Oryza sativa Japonica Group: one gene and its partner. The protein of the gene in region 1 interacts with the protein of each later gene in a pairwise test. Links are inferred from orthologs where the notes say so. Each region holds a gene or a part of one and is shown in the gene's direction. Other genes may lie near its edges.

The links.
Region 2: the proteins of U1 small nuclear ribonucleoprotein 70 kDa (region 1) and 6,7-dimethyl-8-ribityllumazine synthase, chloroplastic interact in binary tests that used the Arabidopsis thaliana proteins (3 or more experiments, as listed by UniProt). The link is inferred for Oryza sativa Japonica Group from reciprocal best matches to the Arabidopsis thaliana genes U1-70K and COS1.

The regions. Positions count from the first base shown.
Region 1 is NC_089044.1:1,015,546-1,019,850, reverse strand, and holds the start of U1 small nuclear ribonucleoprotein 70 kDa, read left to right. Parts: upstream 1-1,372; 5' UTR 1,373-1,456; coding exon 1,457-1,558; intron 1,559-1,658; coding exon 1,659-1,773; intron 1,774-1,933; coding exon 1,934-2,013; intron 2,014-2,726; coding exon 2,727-2,802; intron 2,803-2,883; coding exon 2,884-2,948; intron 2,949-3,047; coding exon 3,048-3,110; intron 3,111-4,305. UniProt on the Arabidopsis thaliana protein: Mediates the splicing of pre-mRNA by binding to the loop I region of U1-snRNA.
Region 2 is NC_089038.1:25,376,183-25,380,425, reverse strand, and holds the start of 6,7-dimethyl-8-ribityllumazine synthase, chloroplastic, read left to right. Parts: upstream 1-1,366; 5' UTR 1,367-1,475; coding exon 1,476-1,596; intron 1,597-1,700; coding exon 1,701-1,828; intron 1,829-2,223; coding exon 2,224-2,319; intron 2,320-3,049; coding exon 3,050-3,145; intron 3,146-3,763; coding exon 3,764-3,842; intron 3,843-3,971; coding exon 3,972-4,018; intron 4,019-4,243. Other genes in the region: la protein 1, read left to right, coding at 1-59. UniProt on the Arabidopsis thaliana protein: Catalyzes the formation of 6,7-dimethyl-8-ribityllumazine by condensation of 5-amino-6-(D-ribitylamino)uracil with 3,4-dihydroxy-2-butanone 4-phosphate. This is the penultimate step in the biosynthesis of riboflavin.

The DNA.
Region 1 (4,305 bases):
TTATAAGTTGCAGCTATGCCTTTAATGGATGAAAGTGGGCATATATGTAATTTTGAGATGGTTTTAAAGTGAGTGATTTATTTTCTTGTGCTTGGTACAAACTAACAATATGCATGTAAGAAAGGTTTAGGATAGGGTAGATTTACTCCAAAGCTGCTTGCAGCAGATAAGTTTACACTACAATATTTAGCCGACAGGTTCATGGGCAAGTGTTTGTGAGTTTTTTGGTCCAATTTTTCTAAAATAATAGGCCAAGTCTTTTATTCTTAGATGAAAAACAGGCTTTCCCTATTGTCTTCTGAGGTTTAGCTTAAAAAAGCCCACGAGTTCATGAAAAGGTAGTTGTCAGAACTGAGAGGTATATAGCCTTCCTTGGCTTGCTAGCCTTCAACCTATCGTTAGGCAGTAAAATGGAACGATGGCCAGTTCTATATATTATGGCTCTGCTGTGCTTATACCATTTGTTATTGGAGCATTTCATCCCTAGGTCTATAGCAGCGCTCCTCTTCATATCCTCATTCCCATGTGCTCATGAGGTATGTGCGTCGATTTGCATCCAAATAATATCAATGATGGACGTTTGGTAACTAAATGTTAATTCTTAATTACCACAACTAAAATATATGCCGTTTAATTGCAATCAGGTTGTCCAATAAACTTGAAGAAGATATAGGTAAATGGAAGCCTGATGATATCATGCAGGTAAATAAAGGCCTGATAAGATCAAATCAAGTAGGAATTTGTATTTTTTTTACCAAAGATTAAATCAAGTGGGAATCTCGTTTTTTTTCCCTTAAAGTGCTTATATGCTAATAGGGTAGATTTAAGAGGACGTCACGGGCCCAATCAGGCATGCGAAAAATCACGCGTGAGGGTGTTGCGGGCCCAATCGCAGAGGAGCACAGAGGCGTATGTGGAAAATGAACTCAGGCGCAGGTCTGCAAGCGGCAAGGGGCACGTAAAAAGGTGCATGCCTAATTACTTCGTACGCGTATGATTTAATAGAAACATAAAATTAAAACCTATTCCAATACAGATGATGTACCAAAATTCTAACGAAAACATCTTCAATTTTTATAATAGTAGAGAAGGGATTTGCATCATCAAATATCGCCGTAGCGTTAGCACGGGCATTTTACTATTTATAAAAAATGTGACACACGATTATAGCCCCCGTGATTCAATAGCGGCAGCAAAGATCCCTGCAACGCTCAGGCAGCAAAAGCATACACTAAGTCACCGACGCATGGGCCCGTGCGAGAGGGCGCTGACGTGTGGGCCCCACATAAAATTCTTCCGTCTCGGCTTCCCCCTCTTTTTACTTCTCTCTCTCCTCCCCTAATATCCCGAGAGAGAGAAAGAGAGATCCCCCAACGCTTCGCGAATCGCAAATCCCTCTCGCTTCTCTCTCTCTCTCTCTCCTCGCGCCGCCGCCGCCACCGCCGGCGCCGCGGCCATGGGCGACTACGGCAGCGGGATGATGCGGGGGAACCCGGACGGCGGCGGGATGCAGTCCCGCACCAAGGGCCAGCGCGTCAACGTGCAGCAGCTCAAGCTGGTAAGCCCCCACCCCCCCCCTAAACCCTAGCTGCTATAACCCTAGCTCCTCTCCGGATCCGCCTCGATCTGAGATCTCTCTCCATGGCTCGCGACCACAGATGGGGCAGGGACACCCGACGGGCCTCACCCCCAACCTGCTCAAGCTCTTCGAGCCCCGCCCGCCGCTCGACTTCAAGCCGCCCGTCGAGAAGCGCAAGTTGCCGGCCTACACTGGTATATTCCCTCACCCGCCTCATCTTCTATTCTATCTGTTCGGTTCTAGGGGGATTATGAATATATTTTTTTCTTTTAATTTTGTCTGTTAGATTTATTTTGTGGATGAGTTGCTTCCTGATGGATGGACTCACTCTTGTTGTTGATTGGTTGGTTGCAGGGATGGCGCAGTTCGTGTCGCAGTTTGCGGAGCCCGGTGACCCTGAGTACGCGCCACCCGTCCCCACATGCGAGACCAAGGTATACTGATACTGCTGCAAATTTGTTTTCTGTATCAATTTTAACTCGTTTGAAGCGCAATCGTTAGTGTTGCATTTTGTTTTATGTCTCCGTAGTGCAAGATGTTCCTACTTCTTATGTTGTCGTGACCATGTCGTATTTATGCCAATGGTATACTTTTCGTGTGGCCATAACCATATTGCATAGTTTCCACAACCATATAGTTGCTTTTTTCAATCGACAAAATCAATTATTTGTAATGGTGTCAGAACGCTTGCTGGTCTCTGAACAATCAGGATTTCTTAAGACTGTTAGTATTAGTATGTGAGCTTCTATGACTACACCTGCTGGAAAGTCACTCACAATTTGACTGTTTGAGCATTGTTCCACTATAGTCAGCACAGGAAAATTAGGTCCAATAAGTTCTACCTGAAATTGCGAGGTAAGAGTTGGAGTCAAATGTTCCCACCTCTGAGATGAATATTTCCACTTTCACCACATGAAAACTCTCTCAAAATAAGACATGTGTAGCTGTCCAAACATTTGTTTGCCAAAATTCTTCTTCTGGTAATTGTATGTGACTATGTCAAATACGCAGCTTTTTGTTGGCACTACTGGCTTTACTCTTTTTTTTTCCATGTCTGTTATTGTTTCTAGATCTACTGTATTATTCGTGCCTATTGTCATTTCATCATTCCAGGTCATGACTTGGTGATTATGTTTTATTTACGCAGGCTGAAAAGAAGGATAGGATCCGCAAAAGTAAGCTTGACCAAGGTGCGGCTAAGGTGGCTGAAGAGCTTCAGAAATGTAAGTTCTTTCTTAGCTGCTCTTCCCTTTGTATCATATGATAGATACTGATAACATCATTGGTGTGGTTTCTTAATGTAGATGACCCACAGAGTGACCCCAATGCCACTGGAGATCCATACAAAACACTCTTTGTTGCAAGACTTGTAAGTTTTTTTGTTGCATCATTCACAAATTATTTTGAACTACATAGTTGGTATTATTTTTGTATGTTACTTCCTATTGACTCCAGCAAACGTTTACAGAACTATGAGACGTCTGAGCATAGGGTCAAGCGGGAGTTTGAAGCTTATGGGCCTATTAAAAGGGTAAGTACATGTGGTAAATTCCAGTGCAGGTGGACTTATTCCTCTTTGGTAAGGTGTTTGGTTGTTCTAATTCATCTACAAAAACATGTTTTAAGAAAAAGCTGGTTCACTGCCATTATATATTGCTTACTTGGAATTTCACAACAAGGTGCTAAAGGATGAAAGGGATATCTTCTATCTCTCTCCGATTTTCAATGGGCAGAATTGTCTGTAGTATTTGTTTCTAAATCAAACAAAATGCTGTGAAGTCTTCTTTTTTGTAAAGAACAAAAATAAGTTATTCTGTCAAGTCTTTTTTTTTGCAGCAAACAAAAATAACTTCTTGTTTTTGTCAAACAGTATTCATAGCACTCTCATTTTCAAGTTGGGCAATACATTCACTGTTTTGTGTGTAAGCATGCATTTGCTGTTTGCTTCTCAATAATGATGTTGGTTGCATTTTGCTAAACCAAGGAGAAAATAACCAAATAATCTTCTCAAATTATTTAAATAACACTTTTATCTTGTATTGACATGTATTGGTTTGGGTGGTTCGGACAGTCTTTTCTTTGTTATCCATTTCTAAACATGTGGGCTCTGTTGATGTACTTAGTGGATAAGTAATATAGAGCTCCAGCAGAAATTATGTCTTCTGGTAATTTTTGTTAGACATATTATCTGAGTTACTGTTGAGCAATTTAATGTGCGAATGGTTGGTACAACCATTAGAAGACTAAAAAATCCTGGGAAATACAAATACACACAAGCAGGTATTTTTACTGCATGCAGCCTTGATGTTTTTTTTTCTTAGAACATCTTTTCCCTTTTACTCTCGGAAAAGATCAAACCATTTGCTTCTGCAGTAGGCACAATGTATCATTTGTTTTCCCATTCTATGAACTTGCTTCTCGTGTGTATTAACTGGAGCAAACAAGCTTGAAGAATGTTGGCGATGGCACAAGTAAGCTTAGATCACTTTATGCTTTTAAAAGCAGCTTATCTGCAGGCATGGGGTTTCTACATTCTGGGATTTATTAGGTTGCTGGTGAGTACAGTGTTTATGTTACTTTCCCTGAGCTGTTAAAGCTAGTTCTGCTTTCAAGTGCTGCTTCTCTTGGAGGAAACAACAGCAAAATATAATGCAAATGACATCTCAACTTTTAGAGTTGAAGATGGCTCCATTTTCTGATGCGTAACAGCGTAAGGAATAGACATC
Region 2 (4,243 bases), on another chromosome or scaffold:
GCCACTCGGACGGCCATGAAAGGGCAAATAAAGCTCGAAAAGTCGATGCTGCTGCTTAAAGGCCTCGTCGTCTTATACTAGTAACCTCAGCTTATGAGCTCTAGTGAGGAACGGAAATGTTTGCTCCGTTGCTTGCTTCCACAACTTTGGGAGCAAACCTTTTGTGTTGTGTTTCTTGTCGTGAGCTATGCTCTTTGGAAGTAAGAAACGGTGAACTCATGATGAAACGGAAAATTTTGTTCGGTCAAAGCTTGGGATGAATCCTTTACATGTATCTGATATATATACTAATACTTCCGTCATCTGAATATCTGATACATCGAGAGTCGAGACAACTGACAATGAGACCATGCCTCGTTATAATTTGTACCGCTGAGGCAGAGGCGGAGCGGGCGGCCGACGACGCTGTGGAGGAGGGCGGTGGCGGCAGCGACGCGGGAGCAGGCGTGTGTGGCTGGCAGCGGACAGCAGCGCGCGGGGGCGGGCGGTTGGCAGCGGCGTGAGACGAGGAGGGGGAACCGGTCAGTGGGCTCCGCACAGGGAAGGGGAAGGGAGAGGCCGCAGCAGCGCAGGTGTGTTCGAGCTCCGTGCCGCCGCGACGGTGGGGAAGAGGGGAAGGAGGATCTCGCCGCCGCTTCGCTCCACGTCCCACCGCCCTTGTTGCCTGTCGGTTGCTCGCAGCTGCCTCCGCCCCCTCCAACCCTCGTCCTCGGCTCCCCCCTGCTGCCCGCAGTTGCCTCCATCCCTTCCGGCAGCGGGTGCTCTCTCCTCTGTTCACCGAAAGAGAAGAGAGGAGAGAGAAAAACGATGACAAGTGGGTCCCACAGTATTTGTTTTTCTAACTGTAGGCGTAGGCTGAAAACCGCTTCGAATCGAGTTAGGATGGTAATTTATCTGGTTTTAAGAGTTTGGGGGTGTCAAATGTCCAATATTGTAATATTGTAGTTTAGGGGGGGGGTAAATCATACTACCAGTCTACCACAATAGTTCAGGGGGGTGTAATTCGTACATTTTCCTTTTAAAAAATTCGTACATTTTCCTTTTAAAAAATCATGAGCTGCAGTTAGGAGTTCGCTCGTTTAAGGTTAGCATGAGAGTTTTCTTATACAACTCCTTTTGTATTTCTAAAAGCGAACGGATTTAGAAACCGACTCATAAACGGATGACGTAACAAAGTACTGATAAAAACATCTTTAATTTTTATAATAGTAGAGAAGATAGAGATAGAGATTATAAGTACTACTATAATTTTATTTATAAACTTTGCCAAACTTAAATATGAAACGGAGGAGAGTAACTTTTGGACATCAAACGAACGTGGGTTTCTTTTCACCTACAAACCCGGGCCCGAGGGAAGGGAAACGCCGCGACGTCATCCGCACCGCACCCGATCAGAGCAGCCAGATCTTCCCCCCGACTTCCCGGGCCGTCTCCTCCCCTGCACCACCCCACCCCACCCCACCCCACCGGCGGCGATGGCGGCGGCTGCCCCCGCGACGACGTCATCCGCGGCCGCGAGGCCCTCCTCCTCCTCCTCCTCCTCGCGGCAATCCGACGCTCCTCTGCGCGCCGCCACCGTCTCCTTCCCTTACTCCCGTACGCGCCCGCCGGACAACCAAATTTTCTCTCCATCTGAGTCTTTTCTTACTCGTCCTGATTTCATTTTTCCTCTTCTCTGTAATTTGTCTACTTACGTGCAGCACGGCCGGCCGCGTTGGCTGCAGGCGCTCGGGCCTCGCGGGTTAGCCCCGTCGTGGTCGCCGCCGGCGGCGGGCACCAGCGGCTTATGGGGTCGTTGACTAACACCCAGGGGCTCAGGTTTGGAGTGGTGAGTTAGTGTGTCCTCCACTTCTCCCATTGTTGACTTGTGTATGACTGTAGATTGGGCTAACTTTGAGTTGACGCGGCTCTACATGGACATGCGAGATAGCTTCCTGCCCAATTTCTTACTGATTCGTGAAGTTTGATTGTGTGTTTTCTGTGCTTCACATGAGACATTGCTCCTGGCCAATTTCTAGCTGATTACTAGTAAAGCTTCCTTCCCCAGAGGAACTATTTGATTCGTTTGCTTTATTGATAATGCTGAAAACACCTGGTTGTTTGGTCTAAAAAATGTTGCTTTACTGAAACGCCATTGTTTACTGAAAAATCTCGACACCTTTTCTCCTCAACTGCCTAACGTTGTTGTTGTTGTTATTGTTGTTGTTGTTTTTTGTCCTACAGGTTGTGGCACGGTTCAATGAGATTGTCACCAACTTGCTACTGCAGGGAGCTCTTGAGACATTTGAGAGATATTCCGTCAAAAAAGAAAATATAACAGTATGCATCTTTCTTGTTCTGAGTGAATTTCTGTTTCAAAAAGATTGGAGTAATCCTGTGCCATCAAAATGTCATATCATTGTTCGAGCATTTTTCTTAACTAGTCTTGAACATCATTCATATCACCACTATTGTAACCGTTATTTTTTTAGATAATGACCACTATTGTAACCGTTATGCATGCATACAAAATTGTTTTGTTACCCTTGTTCCCGATGTTAAGGTAAAAAATACTTTTGTCATGAAGTATTGACCATGCATAGCACTCTTGTTGGATGACTTACCTACTTTGTAGGGTTAATATATGTTTCATGCCCATCCACCTGTTCCTTTCTTATTTCATTGTTCAGAAATACTGTTCTGAAGTAAAAAATGTAATGCAGTTTCTCTAGGCCCATTAACTATTTTCCTTTTGTTCCATGCTTGACAATGTATGAACTACATATTATCAGCATGTTTCATGGATTTGTAATTGTGAATAACCTTTCGATGTATGAGATGAACTTCACACATGTAGCATTCATAAGTAGAGGTTAACTAATGTTAGCATGGTACGCACTTAAGCTGTGTACAACCTTTGTTGCATATCAGACATATAAAGTGATCCACAAAACATATGAATTCAGACTTCATCCATGATTGGTAAACAGCCTTAGTTTGTTTAAGTTTCTAAATAGTTTCAGAAACTTTTGGTGCACATTGCCTCACTCTAATTCAAATGATTGTTTAGGTTGTAAGTGTTCCTGGCAGTTTTGAAATTCCTGTTGCGGCACAAAAGCTTGGGAAGTCTGGAAAGTTTGATGCAATTTTGTGCATTGGCGCTGTGGTAAGTTGTTTGCCTTTTTGTTCATATTACCATATATCATGGCTCCAAGATTGTGTCTAGGTTATTTTCCAGACACATCATAATTATCTGATTCAGATACTATATAGCCTGGTGCAGTGTGCCAAATAATGAGTTCTGAAATGTTTATGTAACTCATATTTTACAGGGTGTCTTTTAAACAATGCCAATCATATGTCTAATTTACACTGGACAAAATTCAACTAGGAGCTTTATCATAACTAACATAAGGGCCTGTTTGGCACAGCTCCAGCTCTAGCTCCACCCCTCCTGGAGCTGGAGCTCAGCCAAACAGTTCCAGCTCCACCAAAAATGGGAGTGGAGCTTGGTGGAGCTCTCTCACAAAATGAACTAGAGTTGTGGAGCTGGGTTTAGGTAGCTCCACAACTCCACTCCAGACCCAACTCCTAAAGCTAAATTTAGGAGTTGGAGCTTTACCAAACAGGCCCGTCTAGCTAACAATACTAAGTCACAAAGTATTTTCCCTTAATCCCACCGCTCTTGGCATGATAATACCTTTATATCTATTTTTTGCAAGCCCTTAGTTATCAGTAGTTGGTGCGATTTGATTACAGAAGTCTTCCTTATGCTAATTTGCAGATTAGAGGTGACACAACCCACTACGATGCTGTTGCAAACTCTGCTGCTTCAGGTGTACTGTCTGCTGGATTGTCTGCTGGTACGTTGCTTTCACCTCTTTGGGTGTAGTGCCTGTAGGAACCTAATTCTGTAAGTTTTTGTTTTCAGCTGGGGTAACTCTCAGTGGAACTTATGGCAGATTATTTATTATTTTTTTATTGTTGCACAGAGATCCCATGCATATTTGGTGTTCTGACATGTGATGACATGGACCAGGTAATTCATCATTCATTAACATGTATCTTACCAAAGTTTCTATTATTCCATATCCAATTTATAACTCGTCGTTTGTCAAGTAGTTATTCTGTACTTTTGAACCATAGTAATTTGAGAAGCAATGGATTTTGAAAGTTTCTTACTCGAAATGTAGCTGTCATGTTCCCAACCCTTATGTTTAACTCTAATGGAAGATGCACCACCACTTTGGCGTGCTGTCATGTG